2 linked regions of the Lonchura striata genome follow. The protein of the gene in region 1 purifies or fractionates together with the protein of each later gene. This does not show direct contact. Links are inferred from orthologs where the notes say so. Each region holds a gene or a part of one and is shown in the gene's direction. Other genes may lie near its edges.

Region 1 (9,750 bases):
TCTCTCTTTGTATTATGAAAATATTTATACTTACTCTCGTTTGTAATACACTTTGAAGTGCACTGCTGAAGAACATGTAGTAGTGTTGATATTACTTGTATGGAAGTGGTTTTGGAACCAGAAACACAGATCAAACCTTGCTGAAAATTATTTAGGGAGCTGTAGGTACAAATAACCTCCTGGGTCATAAGAATCCAGTGTTACTGAATATTTAAACAAAAGGGCAACTCTAAGATCACTTACAGCCTCTAACTTTTATTTCAAGCATTGAGTAATGCAAACTCACCTGTTCAAGAATAGTTCTTAATCATATCCTCGATATAAGAACACTTTAAAAAGTAAACATTTCTCTAAATAAGCACCATTTTAAATGCTTTACTACACTGAAAGCCTTACATGCCAAGATGAGCACAACTGCTATGGAACATACACACACTATCGTGCTCATGTTCACAGCTGGAAATTTCAGTTCCTTGTTATCTGTATATACAATTTGTACCTATAGCTGTGGCAATTGCAAATATGAATGAGGGGCACAAGTGCACACCTAGTATTTTGGAAAATGAAATTAATCGAAATAATGATAAAATATTATTTTGAGAACAGTTTCCATATGATAACATTCAATTTCTCTTTAGAAAAAAGGGTATTCTTACTACATTGTTTAATTTGAAATGGTCCCTTCGCTTATCCATCTCCTGGTCTATGAATTACACATACAGTGGCAAACGTCTTTTGTTTCAGCATTTTGACATTGAAATAAGTCTCTTGCTTTGTTATCTGTACAAAAACAGGCTACTAAAGAAGAGAGCTGAGTAAGCTCCCTAACACTTTTCAGGGTTGAAGGACATTAAATTCTTTCTTTCTAAGCTCTCTTTCCACCTTCACTTGTTAACTGGAATCACTAAAGTGATTCACACCTTTTTGAAACACAGATGAACATTTAGCAGCATCATTGAAGATGACTTATAGCAGAGAAAGTATAAATATAATCTTTCCCACACTAGCATTTCTCAGCACTCAGCTTTTGATCCAGAACTGACTTGTCAGTCAATTTTTCTGTAGTCAGGGACTGGGGATTAAGCAATTCCTATTTAATGATGACATATTATTTTGCAATGATATCTTTGAAAACAAAACTGAAAGTCGGTATTCACTGTGTATTTGATTTAACTAAAAACAATCCTTTTGAGTATAGATCATGGTAAAACTGAGTCTACAAAAGCTGCTTACTATCCCCCTGCAGAAGACATTTCTGAAAAATTAGACAGAACAAATAAGAATTGTCTGGCAAAATATTAACTGTAGCTAAACCAAGATGTTATCAGAAATGAAGGGGTATAATGCTTACAAAGAACAGAACCAGCAGCAATATAAGATGGACCTTCTCCTTTTTTCTGTATTCATAATGAAAGAGTAAGGAAAACCACAGACACTAGCTGATGCCCATAATCTGTCCCTTCCCTTGCAGAAACATCTAATAACAGCACAGTGTATCCCCGAGGGCTTTAAAGGAATCTGTGCGAATTGGGGAAGGCAGATTTCAGAAGAGGCTGAGCAAGAATTAACACACTCCAAGTACCTCTGCAGTTACTCAGTCAGCTCCAGGAATGTGTATGCAGTCTCATGCCTCCTGCTGTAGCTGTAGCAGCTGCCAGCACAAATGTAGACAGTGAAGATCACAACAGCTCCAGCCTCTGTGAGGATTTCAGATAAGGTCTGGTAACTCTGGATGTAACACTGTGCTCAAAAGTCTTCTTGTGGTTTCAAGACCTTCCAGCATTTCCCTGCACTTATGTGTGAGAGTGTATAATTTGTTCATTCAGTATAAAAAGTGTTGGTATGGAGTAATTTCTAGTAATCTCAGATAAATTACTTTTTATTCCCTCATTTTTTGTTGCCAGCTCCTGTAATCAGAATACTCCTCCTCAAGATCATCTGAGTCCAGTCAGAAAACTGCAGACTGCAAACCACCCTGTTTCATTTTACCTGTCTCCCAAACAGCTGTCATCAATCCAACTTTGGAAAAGGGAAATGTGTGTTTCACCCTTCCACTTCCTCCTGTCAAACATCAATTTCACAAACCCCATTCCCATGTCTGAGAACACCAGTTAATCCCTATCAAAATTCAAAATTTCAAGAGAGTTTAAGAGTATATATGAGATACCGGGAAATGGAAAATAGCAGAGCTTTCTTATAAGCTGGAGAGTTCAATTTACATATGAAATTTAAAGATTTCAGGCACACTTCCCTGCACAATGCAAAAATAATCAGGCTGGGTACTGCTAACATTTGGAGGTGCTAGGCCGCTACAGCTACTGCACCTTCATATTCAGCAAAGCATGAAAATCGACCACACGCTCCTTTTTCTTCTCACAGCTCAACTCAGGGCTCATAGGATGCCAGGAGCTCATTGCAAACTTCTGCTCCTGAACAAATTCCATGGGGCAGAGATAAATCCAACAACTTCCCCACTCCCTCTGGACTTTAGTACAGCTACTTTGTTTTTAATTGCATAAACCATTTATGAGTGGGGCTGCTGGCAGAGGTGAATTGCCAGAGCTGCTGGCAAGAGGGAGAGTGAGGTCAGCTCAGTCCCCAGCCACTTCTCTGAGTTGTATCGCAGACGGCGGCTGCTCCGTGTGGACTCGCAGAGAAAATCCAGAGCTGGGGCCATACCAGTCCAACCCATGGAGGATCTGCTCCAAAGCTGTCCAAATGACCTTAACTGTGTGTTCCTACACTGTGGGATTTATCTCCTCAGAGGACACAACAAGAGTGTGTTTATGTCTACCCAAGAGAGAAAACAAAGCCTGCCAGGGAATACTGTTGCTGCTTCTAAGCACCTCGGGGTAGAGGCTCTGGAGCTAAAAAAAACAAAAAACCCACAGCTATTTGAGTCAAAGGGCAGTGCAAAGCTGGCATATGAGCAAATGTGCATAGGCTACCCAGGTGTAAAATTCAGGCCGAAAATTGGAAGGGATGTCCCAACAGGGAGGACCAGGATGACCCTGGGGCAGTCTTCAGTTAGGGCAGAGGACAAATCAGCTGAGCTCAGTTCAAACTGATGTTCAGCTTGTTTATCTGCTGCGTTAGGGGGACCTCACTAACATGTAGGATGTGGCATCTCCACCCACAAGGGACAACACTGGAAGCCCCAAGAGATATCTTTTGGTTCTGTGTTCTGGACTTTTTCTGTGTGTGGATGAACATTCAGGTATTTGAACACTTCGAGAAAGGCAGATCTCTCCTGCCACTCCTAGCAAAGAAGAGAAGGCCTGGAAACTGTTTGCTAAAAACATTTCAAGTACCATCATTAACAATAATGTCCCTAGAGCTTGCTGTCTCCTTCTGAGTGTGTGTGTCTTTGTGTGTGTGTGTGTGTGTTTGCATGTTGAACATTTCCCTAACACATTTAAATTGGGGGGGGACTCTGTGAAGTAGGTAGCAAAGCAGCAGAAACAAATCAGAATACAACAAACAGCCAGAACCAAAGCTCATCTGCTCAGTTCTGACCTTTAAAGTCTTTAATGGCCAAGTGCTGCTGTCATCTTCTGTCAGCTTGTGTTCTTGAATTCCAAAGAAGATCCTACTGGTGATTGCAACTCTAGATACAGCTCGACACAAACTCCACAATCGGAACAGTTAATTTTCAGATTGTTCTGTTCAGAAAGTGGGTGGTTTTCACACACAGTAAACTCAGCTTTGTTATTAAAAAAAACTTTAAAAAGGCAGCTACATGGTTGCATTGTAAGTTTTTTTGCTGTGCCCTGTTTCATCTGCTTCTATGTGGTATGAACACAGTAATGTGGAACTGTGGAGAAATGTTTTATTAGGAGAAGTAAACCTTAATTTTATTATGGCTGTGGTTTATTTTGGGGTTCATATGTTACACGAGTGCACTAAAAAGACTGACCAGCTAAAAATAATGTTTCACTAAGAGTTTATCTCAGGATTCTTAGTGATGATTTATCTCCCCTAATATTGACATAACTGGTCAATTGCCCGGAACTCCCAGTTTATTGCAGTCTACTGCGTTTTTCATGAGTATCTGGCACAATGCTTCGCTGTGATTTTACAAAATGTATTAAAAAGGAGAGATCTCAGGCAGTTACAACCCTATCCAGCCTGCATTACTCAGCTAAAACATCTCCACGACCGTAAGAGATTTCTCTGAATTCCACAGTATGGTGTCCTTGCAGTATAAAAACTCACACGTTTACAATGCTAATCGAATGCATCAGATTTTCCTTTTCAGTAATTTGTTTTAAATCATGGGACATGTTTTTTTGAAAAAAATGTTTCTATTTAATTGCTACTTCTCAGCGATCTTCTACAAGTAGGCATCTTAGGTAAGTTTGGTCCCTGAAATGCAGTGACAGGCTAAAGGTACTGAAACCTTCTCTGCGCCTATTCACAAAACAGCTCTTCTTGCGGTATGTGCGCGTATATACACATACATGTTTCCACCCACATTTCCATGTCCCTCTCCATCTTGGATCTGGAAACACCATCTCCCTCCTCAGAGGGGAAGGCTGCCAGGGCTCAGAGCTCGGGTTCTGCGCCGCGGCAGCCAGCGGGGAGAACGCCTCCGACTGGGCAGAGCGCGGCGAGCGCGGTCACCGGGCCCGCCAGACCCTCCGACCGGACCTAGGGAACACGAACACGGAGCGCGGGACACAGTCCTGGAATAATTTTAACACGGATTCAGCCCCGCGCCGTGCCGTGAGGGAGCTCCGGCCCCCCGCCCGGAGCCTGCGCGGCCCCGGGGCCGGCGGGAGCCGCGGGGCTGCCGGGACTCGCGGCCGCCGCGGGACTACAGCTCCCAGCGGCCCCCGCGCGCCGCCCGGGCCGGCTGGGAGTCACGCTGTGTTTATGGGCGAGGCCCCGCCCCGCCGCGCGAGCGGTGGCGTCACCCTCGCGAGCCTCCTTCGCTCCCCGTGGGCTGGTTAATATTCATGAGCCGCGCGCGCGCGGGGAGCGGCGGACGGCGGCGGGATCGCTCGCTCCTCGCCTGCCGGCCCCCCTCCTTAATGGCGCTGGCGACAGCCGGGCAGCGGGACTGAGCCAGGCACCGGCGGAATGCTTCCCGCGGCTGCTACGTAATCCCCCCCCACCCCCGGGACGCGGCGCCGCGCTCCGTTCGGCCCCCCCGCGCCGCGCCGAGCGGCGCTCCCAGCAGGGCGGCGGCGGCGGCATCCCCGGCCCCGCGGCGATGGAGCCCGCGCAGCAGCGAGCGGCAGAAGCCCCGGCGGCGGGAAGCGGGCGGGGGGAGCCGGAGAGCGGCTCCCCGGGCAGGAGGAGTCAGGCGGACAGCGGCGCGGAGCCGTCGGGCGGTGGCGGGCAGCTGGACGGCAAAGCAGCCGGCGGCCCGCGGCGGAGGCGAGGGGGAGCCGGCGGCTTCGCTCCTCCCGCGGCACTGGCGGCCAGCGGGACTCCGGCGGCCCCCGGCGGGGCCGGCAGCGCTAACTCCCTGCTCCTGCGGCGGGGGAGGTTGAAGAGGAACCTCTCCGCCGCCTCCCCCTCTGCCGGCGGCGCTCCGGCCCCCTCGCTGGGCACCCGCAGCTTGGACAGGAAGGCGCTGCTGCTGCTGAAGCCGCCCCGGCAGCTGCAGCCCCTGCAGCCCCCGGAGCGGGACTGGGTGCGGCGGGACCTGCAGCGGGGCTGCGTCCACGTCTACGAGCGGCACATGAACTGCTACCTGCGCCCGGTGCTCTGCACCCTGGAGACCACGGCGGCCGAGGTGGCCGCCCGGCTGCAGCAGCTCGGCCACCGGGGCGGCAGCAGCGTGGTGCGAGTGCTGGGCAAGGCGGGCGCGCCGCCGCCGCAGCCCGAGCCGCCGGCGGGCCCCGCCGAGGCGCCGCCCGAGCCCGCGGCCGAGGGGCTGCGGCCGCAGCCGGACGAGAAGCCCAGGAGCCGGCGGGGGACGCGGAGCGGGCTGTCCGGAGGCGGCTGCGGGGAAGCGGCGCGGCCCGACCGCCTGCCGCTGTGCAGCGGCGCCGAGGAGAACGACTTGGCCGGCGGCCGGCCGAGCCCGGCGCCCTCCGACTTTAGCCCCGGGGCGCTCCCGGCCGAACTGTACCTTGCCGGGCCGCCGCTTTCCTGCCCCTCCCTGCTGGGGGAGCTGGGGCCGACCGGCTCCGACACCGAGAGCTTCAGCCCCAGCGCCGAGAGCGTCTCCGACCGGCTGGACCCCTACAGCAGCGGCGGCGGCGGTGGCTCGTCCTCTTCGGACGAGCTGGAGGTGGAGCCGGCGCCCCCCGACGGGGTGGAAGAAGCAGGTGCGGAGCCGGGCCGGGGCCCCCCCTGCCCGGGGGAGCTGTCCCCGGGGCGGGCAGGGGGGGTGCCGGCGGGCGCGGCCGGCGGGCGGGAGCAGCCAGCGGGGCCGCCCGCCCTGTATGTACAGCTGCACGGGGAGACCAGCCGGCGGCTGGAGGCCCACGAGAAGCCGCTGCAGATCCAGAACGACTACCTCTCCCAGCTGGGCTTCCGGGACCTGTGGCGGGTGCAGGAGGAGGGCATGGACTCGGAGACCGGCTGCCTCATCCGCTTCTACGCCGGTGAGCGGGGCCGGGGGGCGAGCGTGGGGAAGGGGCGGGAGCCGCGCCCACCGCCCCAGCTGGTGGGGCGCCGCGGTGAGCGGAGGGCGTGCGGGCGGCTGGGCGCTGCTCCTCCGCCGGGCTGTCGCGGGGAAGGCGGCCCGGGGCCGTCCCCTGTCGCGGGGAAGGCGGCCCGCGGGTGTCTCCGCGCCGCGCCTGGGAGGGGCCGTGCCGGGAGGTCCCCGGCGGCGGCGGGAAGCGCTGCCCCGAGCCGGCCGCCGGGAGAAGCCGCGGTGTCAGCGGCGCTCACGCTGCTCCAGTGCTGTGCCCGGGGCAGCCTCCCCTTCCTTCAGCGCTTCGGTAATGGAGGTCGCGCTGATGTTGTTTTCCCGTTCCTAGCAGCGGCACTGGGCGTTCGAGGTTAAATCAGCCTTGATCTACTACTGCTTTCCTTAGTGACGAGGAATTGTATCGGTGCCGCTGCCGGGCGCGGGAGGTCGAAGGTTCGTTCCAAGTGTTTGCGGGATGCCGGCAGCTGGCTCACGGTTTAGTGGAGCTGTGTGCTCGCTCCGGGGAACACCCAGCCCGCCCCATCGCGGAGCCGAGGGCACGGCCGGCTCGCTCCCAAGAGGGAAGCCCCGCAGTTCTTGCTCCTGAAATAGGTTACCGCGGTGCATTCCTGCAAACAAAATCCTGCGCTTGGCTTTCTGCGTTGTTGGCATCAGTTTTTCCCGTTAGAGTGATGGGACTTCACTGAGAGACTGAGGGCAGTGAGCGAGAGAAGTAGGGAAGCACAGGTCGTGGTCTTTGGAAGCGGGGTGGTCAAAACCTTTGTAATGAAAAGGGAGAAGCTTCGTAATGCAGCTTTGCTGCTACAACATACAATACAGAATTTGGAGAATGTTGGGTGGAAAAGTTAGCTCCCACGTTGTAATTATGCAACCTTCTGCAGTTTTAGGGAGGTTTAAAAATACCTTGTGTGTCAGTTGAGTTGGTTTGTGTCAAAGACTTACTGTAATCTCAGAACTTCTTGGATTTTAGCTGTCTTATACATCTCCTCAAAAAGAAAACATTCTTTAATGTCCAAATATGCATTCAGCTACCTTTTAAGTTTTCCTGTGAAACAGGTAAATGTGATATCCCGAGATGAGGTCATGCTAGCAAAGTAGCACATGCCTTCCGTCCCCTTGCTGGTTTGGCTGAGCAGGATGGTCCTTCAATGAACCGTGAGAATTCAGTGCTTTAACGCTGAAAGATACAGAGATTCTTTTCTCGAGTGAATTCCACTGAATGTCAAATGGAGTTGGTAATGGTGGGGTGGGAAGGAGAACAGTAAGCTGGATAAGTGCCCTTTTTTATTCTGAAGAGAATGTGGGAGTGGTGGCAAGTGGTCAATTCAGCTTTTCTTCAGATTTTTCTGATTGTACAATGACCCTGGCATAAGTAGTATTTGTTAAGGGAGTTGACAGAAATAGGTTAGATGCATGTGGGTTAGAAAGTAGCTTTCTTACTTTTTTTTTCAGACATGATTGTGGTCTTTTGTGTTTCTTTGCCTGCTCTTGAGGATGGAAGTCAGCAGGTGATGCTGGGAGGGATTGCTTCCTTTATTTCCCACCCCACCATTAAATGGGGATGCACACACGTGTTTTAAATTGGGACAGCTGTGTGCCTCCTTTTTTAACAGGATGTGTTCTAAAGAAAACACAATCAGGAAGCATAGTGAAGTCTTACACACAGTTAAACCTGTTTGCATGTAGTTTTAATGCATTAAGTGATTAATTATACATGCTAAATGAGGATGTTCCAACTTTGTTTTATTTCAGTGTCTCAACTTGACTGCTAATGTAGCTTGTACATTTTAGGCTTCCTTGTACAAAACTACTGGATAGAAGGATATTTCTGTGAACATACATAGGATTAAATTAATGCAAATTTCTTATGCAAGTTCATATGCTAACAAGTATGCCTCTACTTCAAAAGTGCAGCGCTTTTTGAAATCCTTATCTCTTTGAGGGAATCTGTGATCAACATCTAAAACACCTGTGATCAGGTGCTTGTAACAGAAAGGTTGCAGCACCTAATGTACCAGGCCAGCCAAAAACAGCTAAGAAAATATTACTGACACGTAATTATACTGATTTTATGTAACTGTCTTGGCAAGTTATCTCTGCTTCCTTATTTTATACAAACACAACCCAAAGATGAAAGAGAGGGAAGGAGAGACACTTAAAAAGAATACACATCAAATTACACTGGAAAGGGGAGCGATTTTTTTTGGCCTCAAAGTTAAGTGTTTTGCTTTGGAGAAATACCTTTTTAATAAATGATCCTCTAGCATCATACCCTAAGGAAAGCTTTAAAACAGTGATTTCCTGTTTGCCTAAGACTTTGTTGATTTAAGTGGCCTGGCTTGTCCCAGTGGATAGAGAACCACTAGCATCTCTATGCCTGTAATTTCCTGCAAGCTATCTCAGTAGGATTTGGTGATACTTGTCTTTTGCTGATGTGAAATTATACAAACCTAGGTTGGATCTATTGCATTGCTTCTAAAAGGAATTCTTTCACCTAATCCCCCTGGAGTAGGGAGAGGAGAAGAGAGCAAAGTGATGACTTTGGTTTTTGTTTTTTTTTTTATTTTTGAGGAGAGACAGTTTTAAGACTGGAAGACGACTGTATTGAAACTTGCCATTACAAATTCCACATAAGACAATATAGCAAATAGTTTTAGTGATTGCTGTAGGCTGGTAATTTTTCCTGTTGTGGGATCTGGAAAACAGAGATTAAAAAATTATTGGTAGGAAAACTGCAGAGATTCAGATTTTTCTGCTATGACAAAACAGTTTTCTTAATAAATAGCAATCCACAAATATTCTGTAAATGAAATACCTGATAATTTAAAAATCCTCAAAACCAAAATGGGACACTAAGAAGGTAAAAGTGCTTCCTCTACATTGCCTTGGTTTGTTGCAGCATGTGGTTAGTGCATGTTTATTCTGGTGTCTCCTCTCATTTTCTTCCTTAAGAGTATGAATGTGGTTGATTTTGTCAGTGTCTTGACTCTTAAGCACTAAACAATAACACCACTGCTAATACAAAATCCCCTACAGCTTTAAGGGGCTGATCCTACTTCCTGTAACATCAATTTGAGCAAAACCGGGCATAAGTGATTGGTCAGGCATGTCAATTTTTCTCTCTGTTGAAATCTATCTCA
Region 2 (9,690 bases), on another chromosome or scaffold:
GCTTCTTATATCACAAATAAAACAGATTCTGAATATAGATGAAGACATCAGTAAGCACAATTTTGTGGTTGCAGTTGCCAGTGTCAGACCAGAATGATGATGGAACAGTCACTTCTCCCCTTAATTTTCCCAACTATATAATTTTGAGCAGGTGATTCAAAGCATAGCAGATTGTTGTGTGCATGCAGATGCCATTAAAAACACACTGAAGAAATTACAAGCAATCTCCTCTCTTCTAGCATTATGAAAATGATAAAAACACTTGCCTGTCCACTGGGTAAATGGCAAAGGTATATGCACTTTACAGGATATGGGAAGCCCCTGTCACCATAATGCTTAAAACCTTAAAAACTTGATTGAAACTCTTGCTCTTTAGGAAACTGCAAATGTCATGATGAAGACTGAGCTGCTCTGTGCTCCTGTCAGCTGGAGATCCATGTGGCCAGAACCAGTGCTCCAAGAACCCACTGCTGAGCCTGTGCCCATCCAGCAGAGTGGCTGCTGCTCCTTTGACAGAGATCTGTATGTGGGGATCTGCAGGGGTAATCAACCACTGAAATAGCCCCCAGGTTAATATGCCCACATTGTGCTTAGCTCTGTAATTTTAGGTGAAGAACATAATCAGCACTGGGTGTGTGAGTGTTGGGAATGCAACAGGAACCTGAAAGTTTTTGGCTTTTATTTTAGTATGTGCCTATAATGTCAGTACTTCAGTCTCAGAGGATTTGCCTACCTGACTATAGTTAAGATCGTGATGTTCTCTCACACAGATCATTGGAGTTTAGCTTTTTTGGGTATCTTTCCTGATCTAAGAATTCATGACAAGTCACTTTACAAGGAAGGGAGAAAACCAGCAGTTTGAAGCAGACTTCAGTCCCTTAGGATCAAAGCCCAAGTCTTCTGATGAGCCTACAGCACCAAACGGTGCCTAGTCCAGACTGAGAGTCGTGGTTATTGCAGTGGGGTATGGCATAGAACTGAATATCTGCTATTTTTGCATGCTTTATTTAGTGAATCTTCTATGCAAACCACTTGGGTTCCTGTTTACGTATCAAACTCCCCACAGCATATCTGCCCCTTGTCATGGCTATCATTATTCCTGGTGAAGAGGAGTGTACTGCTCTCACTTGGGAGTTAACAGCAGTGACACCCTGCCATCCTAGGGCTGTCTGGCTTTAGCATCCCAGGAACAGAGGCAGGAAACCACAGCAAGGTCTCCTGTCCAGCCTATTCTAGGACTTTCAGCAAGCCATGAGGAAGAGCAGCAAGGCCTCATTCAGTGCTGCTCTCCAGCAATGTTACCAGTTCAGATGATAGCAGTTTTGTAGGAAATTAATTGGAGAATTACAGACGAACTCATACATCTATTTAGTCTCCAGATGAATTTCTATAAAGCAAATGCACAATGTTTCAGCATGACTATATTTATTATTTTTTTCCAGAGAGCCTGCTATTGTTTTGCTATTGAGAAATACACCTTCAAACATTGGATTAGTTAAGTTTTAGAAGCACAAGTATGTTTATTATATTTGGCACTGTGAAAAGCACTTCTAATTTCTATTTATATTGAGCTAGATTCTTCACTGAGACCAAAACTGTGTTGTTTGTTTAAAAGCTATTAATGCCTAGACTGAGATACCAGCTCTGTGATCCTAATAAGATGTCATACAGTTTTTTCCTCTGAGTACAGCCCACCTTTTAAAAAGGGAGGAACAAATTCACTGTTGGCCCACAGAGGTGCTGTCATTACTTGAATCATGGAACAGAGCTTGTTCTACTGGGGGTTAACTCAGTAATTCCACTTCATCTTACCATTCTAATCTTTCTTCTAATGCCTGACTGTATTTTTATCCAAAGTTTCATAATTTAAAAATTTAGAAATAATTTTTAAAAGTGATACTGAATTAATTGTTACCTATATATGTGTTAAAAATGGGTGGGAACAGGAGTGCCTGCTCTTTTGGCGTGGTATCAATACACTGTCTGGAAATCATCCATTCTTTGCCACTAAATCCTACATTCAGTATTTTTGGGTAATGTAATACCAAGGCTCAGTTGATGCATCTTATCCTGAAGCACTTAATAAACTAGAGTTAACAGATGTGAAATTTGAAGAAGCGCTCAGGGAATCTAGGGACTTCCCTGAAAATTAGGGTTTATAGACTATAATCCCACTGATGATAGCTGAGTGATAAAACCCACATTGTTTGTATTTATAACAATTCTTGAGTGATTTCATTGTTCTCAAAGAAAAAAAAAAAGCTGCTTTTGTTCATTGTTGATACAAAGTCACTCTTGTTGTTGCAGACCAGGCACTTCCTACTTTACCTGGGTATTTTTATCCACAGTACTTTGCTGTGTTTGAGAGATAAGCCCTTACTCCAGACTCTGAATCACACTTCCCTCTCAGATTTGGGGAATGTCAGATCCAGATCGGGATCCAAACTTTCTAGTTTGGGCCTGTCTTTCATCATGGTAAATCAACAGTCGGCAAATCTAAACAATATGTTCATGTTGAAATCTGGAGGGTTTTTTTAATTGTACTTCCTTTCTAGCAAACAACGGACGTTTATTTTCTTCTCTTCAGGACAGAAAACTGTTTACTCTGTGATCTTATTTTTTAAACTGCTGCTTCATTTGCAGGGGGAAGTCCTAATGACCTTGCTCACCACGAAGCCTGGGAGCTTATCAATCAGGAGAGGGTTTGTCAGGAAGGTGAGAAAGCTCTCCTGAAATCAGATCTATTACCAGAGATCCCCCTGCCCCCACTGTCTCACAGCCAGTGAACTCCTATACTTACATGCACTCTTTACTTCTAGATGTAACTACAGCCTGAAGACTCAAAATTAGTTGATAAATTAATTTTGTCCGTGTTTTTGTTAAGGAAAATACATGTCCTCTGAGCTGCCCGCAAGTTTTCCACACTGATGATGAATTTAATTTTAAATACATCTTTAAGGACTACCTACATTTTAATACACACTACGTATTTTGTAAGTAATGCATGGTAGGTCAAAATGTGATCACAAACCCAGATTTTTCCTTTCCATTAGCTTTACATCTTAGAGAGTTCCCACAGCCATTCAATTCTGCCCTGGGTAACTGGGCCAGTACCACGGGGCCTGCTTACTCTGCTAAAGTACCTGAATTGTACATTTTTAAAATTGTGCTGAAATATGCCCCAGTAAACCTAAAGGTGACACACAGAAAATCCCACACTGGCGTAGCTGCTCTGCCAGCAGGAACTACTCTGTACATTGGTGGGAAAGGAGGCATTACTCTTTCTTCACCCTCCATGAAGAAATGGGAAACATTTCTCCTCTGCCTTATCGTTGGCTCCTCTAGCACACCAGCGTACCCAAAATCCAGGAATCCATTTGACACTCGGTAACCCTGATTACAGATATGATCAGTCAGACCTAGCTGATCAAAACGGAAGAAGAAAGTGAATTTCAATAAACATTTACAATCGTCAAAATGATGTGGTAAAAAAGCCTCTTATTATATCCAATAAGTTTGTAAAGGCAGAGCTGTATTCCCTAGCTTTACTGCTGTAAATGCGTTTTATGCACTTTTATATTGCCAACGGTGCATAGCTGTGGGAAGATGTGCCGTTTCCTAAATTCCAGCCAGCTTCGGATTGCAGAAATGTGATCATCAGTGATCGTATGTTTCTGAAGAAATCCAATCAGTTCTTACAACCCAGTTAACGTTTATGGCACTGTCAATTTGAGAATAAGCAAGATCTCTTAATGACCGAAGAAGACAAATTTTGATAGTGGAAGGGCAGAGAAATGTTAATCTGTCATAGGGGTTTCCACAGCATTGTTTTTAGAGCAGAATGGCTCTCAAAAACCTTACCAAAAATATTGTCATGCTGTAAGCAATAGTTTAAGCAATTTGTCATGTTTTGAGCCATTCCTACTGTGAAAGCAGGATGGCCTCGAGTGCAACATCCAGAATCACTACCCCAGCCCCTCCATGGGCAATTCCTTAATGCAGCCTGTCCAATGTGGAAAGGGATACTGAGCATCCTCCCAGGTACTCTGGTACCTCGTTATTTAATCATCTGGTATATTATAGGAATACTGTAAGGGAAAACTCTGAGGGCAGAGAAGCAGAACTGGCATCCCATGCTTTTGGGGAAGCTTGCTGGAAGCACCCCAAGAGGTTTAAAGGAGCCTGGCCCTTCCTAGAGTCTAAAATGCTGGGGCTGCCTGAGCCTCTCACCTATGTGGGGCAGGATGCCTCATTTTTGGGGATGCCCTTTGTCCAGAGAAGGGCACTAATCTGGTGAAGGGCCTGGAGAAAAAGTCTTACAAGGAACAGCTGAAAGAGCTGAGGGTTTTTAGCCTGGAAAAAAAGGAGGCTCAAAGAGGATCTTATAATTCTACAGAACTCCCTGACAGGAGGGTGTAGGCAGGTGGAGCTCAGTCTCTTCCCGGACAATCAATGACAGGACCAGAGAACACAGTCTTATGCTGCACCGAGAAAGGTTTAGGCTGGACATTAGCAAAAAATTCTTCACAGGAAGGGTGTTTTGACATTGGAATGGGCTGCCCATTCCAGTGGGAGGTGATGGAGTCACTGTCCCTGGAGGTGTTTAAGGAACGACTGAAGCGGCACTTAGCGCCATGGTCTGGTTGACGTGGGGCGATCGGTCATAGTTTGGACTCGCTAACCTGTCTTTTCAAACCTAATTGATTCTGTGATTCTGTGAAATTGTCCATGCTCCAGGCAGCCGGCTCACAGGCCGAGTCAGGAGAAGCCTCGTCCCTCCCCTCCCGGGGCACAGCGTCCCCACCGCTCCGGCCCAAGGCCGGGCCGGTGCCAGGGGAAGGGGGAACACGGAGCCGCCCGGGGCCAGGAAACGCCGCCCCCGGGGCCTGGGGCCGGGCCGGCGGGTGGGCGGAGGGGCCGGGCAGGCGGGCGCTGCTCCGCCGCGCTGCGGGAGCTCGGAGGGTGGCGAGGCCGCGAGCCCCGTCCGGGGAGCGGCGCTGAGCGAGCGGGGCGGCCCCTCGGCTCGGGCGGGAAGCGGCGGCGGCGGGGCCCGGCGGCCGCGCCGCGGAGGGTGCGAGCGAGCGCCGCGGGACGAGCCCGGCCCGGGCGGCGGCAGCGGGCCCGGGGCTGCGGGGGGAGGCGGCGGCGGAGAGAGGCGAGGGGCGGCCTCGCAGGGCGGAGCGGCGGGGAAGGCGAGCCGGCTGCCGGAGCGGGCGTGCGAACCCCACGGGCCGAGCGTCTGCGAGAGGGGGAGGAGGAGCCGCCCCGCCGCCCGGGGATGGTGAGGAGGAGGCGGCGGCTGCCGGGAGCCCAGTGAGGCCTTCGCTCGGCGCCCGCCGCAGAGCCCGCCCGCCTCGCCGGCCGCCCCCTTCCCCCGCTCGCTCGCTCGCTGGCTCGCTCCCCCCTTCCCTCCCCTTCCCCTGACTCCCTCCCCAGCTCCCTTCCCCTGCCGCCGCCGCCGCCTCCTCCGGGGCTCCAGCCATGTAAGTGACCCGCTCTCCGGCTGGGAAGGGCTGGGGGAAGGAAGCGCCGGGGCCGGGGCCTGCTCGGCGCGGCCGCATTGTGCGGGGCCGGGAGGGAAGGGAAGGGCCGGGAAAGGGGGCGGCCGCTTTCCCTTCGCCTTCCCCGGGTGTGCGCTGCCCCCGCGGCCCCCGGGCACGGCCAGGCGGGGTGGGGGCGAGGAGGCCCGGGCTGCGGCCGCCCCGGCCGGTCGGTCGGTCCTGCCGGCGGCCCGGGGCGGACAGGAAGCTGTTGGCTCCCCGGGGATGCGGTGGGAGAGAGGGCGGCGGGGCGGGGGGCTCCTCCCGGGCCTGCCCCCGCCCCGGGCCCTGCGCGAGCATCCCCCGGGGAAGCGGCGGTGGGGGCGGCTGGGGGGTGGTTTGTGCTATTTGTGAAACAGCGGCGAGCAAAGTAGCCGAGGGCCCCCCATTTTCCCACCTCCCCCGCCCCCATTTTCTCCTCTTGTCTTCTGCGGCCGCGTTGTTCAGCCCAGCTCCGCTTTGCGGACCACTGAGTGTTTGCCGACGGGGTTGTGATTCCCTCCGTGGGCATTTCGCGTGTGTAGGTGGCTGTGCAGCGCTTGTGGACTTGAATTTTTTTTTCTTTTTTTTTTTTTTTTCTTTTTTTTTTTTTTTTTCTTTTTGCAGTCGTGTTTTGCAGAGGTGTAGGGAGCTGTCTGCCGAATTCCCCCCCACCCCTCCAGGTGAAGCAGCTGCCGAAATGTTCTTAGAGACTTGTAGGACTTGTGTCTGCTTCGTTGTAAAACCCATAATCAAACATATAAACGTTCTGGTACTTTCAATTTATTTTACTGACAGGACGCTAGTGATGCAGATACAGCTTGCACCTTATTGGTGGTGTGTGCCCCCCCTCCCCGGCCACCCTTTTGGGAAATATTTAACTGTTTTGCTTTGTTTTCCTACCACCTTTATCATGTAAGAAGCAAATTAATGATTTGCGCTAGTTTGTTTTATTTATACCACAGGAGGGACGTACATTTCAAAATACAGTTATAAAAGGGAGTTACTAACACTTAATGCTGAAGAGTATTTGTTTGCAGGTAAATAAATTTGACATACTGCATGACTAGTAATTACTTTCATGTAGTAGTTTCATGGTGACAGCCACAACATTTGTCTGAGTTAGCAGATTTAAAGACCCTGTGGAACTACCTTTGATATTTTTAAATAATAGGGTTTGTGTTGTGTGTGGCGTTTATAGAACTGTTTTTGGTGTGCAGCAGCGGTAAATCAAATTTAAAAATTGATCCAGTGTCCACAATTCACTTTCAGCTCCAGTGTTCACTTTACAGTCTTATGAAAATGTCCTGTAAGTGATTACATTAACAATTAAATAGTTACACAACTGTCTTGATTTCTTTGGGGACTGAACAAAACTTCAATTACAAATACTTCAAAATGGAATTTGATTAAATCTATCTCAGGTAGGCAGCGAAGTTCTGAGCAGCACAGTTCTTAAATCATATGAGCATAAACTGTAAAAGGACTTGTTCTTGTTTGGGAACATAAAGAAGATTTTGTCTGGGCTGCAGAGGGGCTTATGAAGAAGTCACTTTTCTGCCATCCCTCAGTTTTGAAATAGGTAGCTTAGTTTGTCCTATCAAACTGTTGTTGTGTTTGCAGCATGGACAGTTGGATGTCGTAACTGTGGCCCCTCGCCTGAACAGCGTTAACCTCCTGTCTATTGATCAGCAGAGGCAGGAGAACACAAATATTTCAAATTACTGTTTTGTAAACCTAGATTAGGCTAATAGATTGAAAGAAAAAAAAAAAAAAGGGTGAGATGTGGCTGTAGAGATTTTTGTTTTCCAATTACCATTTTCCCCATAACTTAGTATCTGTGAATCCGTTGCGAACCTTGTGATCTGCTGCACTTGCTGCCATGAAATTCCAGCTTAGATGTGGTGTCATTGGACACACACAGCGCACAGTAGTAAATACTGGTGGCCACACCTAAGTCGTGGCCCACAATGCCTTTTTTGTAAGGGAAGCTAAGATGGTGGCACAACCTGGTCCTTCTAAGCTTCCTTGAAAGCTGTCTGCCCAGATTTGGTAACTGGGTCATGGTGCAAAGCTGCTGCAGGCACAGAGGGCCTTGAGCACGTTGGAATCACTGTTGCTCCTGTGAAACAGCCAGGGCAGGATTTGCGTAACGCGGGAGATGTACTTCACTGGTCAAAGCCTGGTGGGAACATCTATCTGTACGCTCCACTTGAAATGTTGGCTGGAGCCCAACTTTGTTGTGTCTGTGCTGTTTAGGTGCCGTTGGCTGTCAGCTGGGAGCACTGGGAGGAGAGAGTAGGTTGCTGGTGGCATCCCGTGTAACGGGCCTGAACGCACCGCCCTGGCCCAGTCCAGTGCTCGTGTACCTTGTCTGCTCTCATGAAAGTGTCATGTGGCCACAGTAGGCAAACTTGGGTAGCTGGATTCCGTTTTGCCTGGTCCTGCTGCTGTGCATTATGAGAACGTGTACGGATGTGTAGCATGTTTGAGCTCAGAGTGTCCTGGGAGAATCACGAATGTGCCACACCAGGGCAGTGGGCATCAGTAACTGGTGGTGTGACAGGGCAAAGTGTTAGCCCAGGGGAATGCTTTTTTGTAATCTGCTTTGTGATCTGGGCTAACAAGTGCAGCCCAGAAACAGTCTGATGTGCCAGGACTGAGGCTGGTGGGTCAGTCTCCCTTTAGTCCCTTGCTTACTCTCCCTCATAAAGATGAGGTGATTACCATAGGTGCTCCTGCATCCCGTAAGCTTAAGCTTCAGCTTAATGGAAGACTTCCTTTTCTTTCTGATCTGCTCTAGGGCATGAGTGGAAACAAATACAAAACTTTACATTGAAAAGAGGACAGGAAGTACAGATTTGTATTTCTACTTTCTTAGAGAAAAAAGAAGGTGAGGATAATGTATAGAAGAGAATGAGAGAAAGAGCTCTAACACAATTCTCCCAAATACGGAAAAAGGGGTTCTGCTCCACCTTCTGTTGGATGGTTGGTTTGACTGATTCCTTAAAGCAGGTTTAATTGCTCCAGTGCCTACAGAAGTGAGTTATCTCATTATTTACGAAGAACTTAATAACCTTTAAGGAGTTAATATGTACGCAAAACTGGTGTCACCATGATACGATGCTGATGTCATACCATTCATGATTTACAGCACTTCAGCTGCATGAGGACTACTGCAGTGTTAAAAAAAGTATTACAGAAATGCGTACTGAAAAACAAGCAAAGAGGAGACTAAGAAAAAGACCAGGTTGTTTAGCTTTTGACAGTATTCAGTCCTGTGCAGACATAGACTGGAGCAGCCAGGTCATACTTACCTCAGATGCCCTCTCTTCACTGGGAACCATTCCTAGATGGCCATAAATGAGGACTGTAATCATTCCTTTTCTTTTTTTTTTTTTTTTTTTTTCCCTCTAAGGATTTTATGGAAAAGGAACTTTTTCTGGTTTACACATCTTCAGTAGTACATTGACCTATAGTTAACTTGCTCTTCTATTCCAAGAAATTACTCTTGCTTGCTGCCACTGTCTTCAATAACATCTCTTATAAAATAGATGTATTAGACACAGCTTCAATATGTGTTTGAAAATACAGTAGATAGAGCAGTTTTGCTGCTGCTGAAGCTGTGCCTATGGACATCTTGTTAGACAGTGAGAAGGGATCCCCAGCTCTTCACATTGCAAATTAAAAATAGCTTAAGTTTCTCCATGTGAAGTAAGTGCTCTGACATGGCTGACTGAAGGACTGAGGTGGGACCCGTGATGCAGGTTGGTGTCAGGAAGTGTTTAATGTTTTTCCACTTTGTTGTGCCACAGCTTCTTTACAAAACTCTCCGCCCCCTTCACCACCCCTCTCCCCTGAAAGGAGGAGGGCAGGTAAAGACACATCCCTGAGAGCATGGCTTCAATAGTAAGTGGGAAATGTTTCTTGGGTAGGAATGGTAGGGAAAAGGCAGTCCAAGCTGCTTGGACACCACAGAGAGTAGAAAAAATAGTCCCTCTGAACTTTGTATTTCTTAGTTGATCTGCTTTTTTTGGCTCTGTTGTCATTCAAATTTGGATTATTAAATGACAGTTTAGCTGATGACAAGCAGGAAGCTGCCAAGTTGTAATCCTGGCAAGTGTTAACGCAGGAAAAACGGGAGTAAGTTAGCTGCAGATTGGAGAATTCT

Evidence for each region. The genes of interacting proteins can lie anywhere in the genome.
Region 2: the proteins of PHLPP1 (region 1) and AKT1 purify together in Homo sapiens (affinity purification with western blotting, with the first as the bait; 3 studies listed by BioGRID). This does not show direct contact. The link is inferred for Lonchura striata from reciprocal best matches to the Homo sapiens genes PHLPP1 and AKT1.

Annotation. Positions count from the first base shown.
Region 1 is NC_134603.1:96,721,711-96,731,460, reverse strand, and holds the start of PHLPP1 (PH domain leucine-rich repeat-containing protein phosphatase 1), read left to right. Parts: upstream 1-5,215; coding exon 5,216-6,560; intron 6,561-9,750. UniProt on the Homo sapiens protein: Protein phosphatase involved in regulation of Akt and PKC signaling.
Region 2 is NC_134608.1:8,656,452-8,666,141, forward strand, and holds the start of AKT1 (RAC-alpha serine/threonine-protein kinase), read left to right. Parts: upstream 1-5,383; 5' UTR 5,384-5,483; intron 5,484-6,183; exon of another isoform or gene 6,184-6,202; intron 6,203-9,690. UniProt on the Homo sapiens protein: AKT1 is one of 3 closely related serine/threonine-protein kinases (AKT1, AKT2 and AKT3) called the AKT kinase, and which regulate many processes including metabolism, proliferation, cell survival, growth and angiogenesis.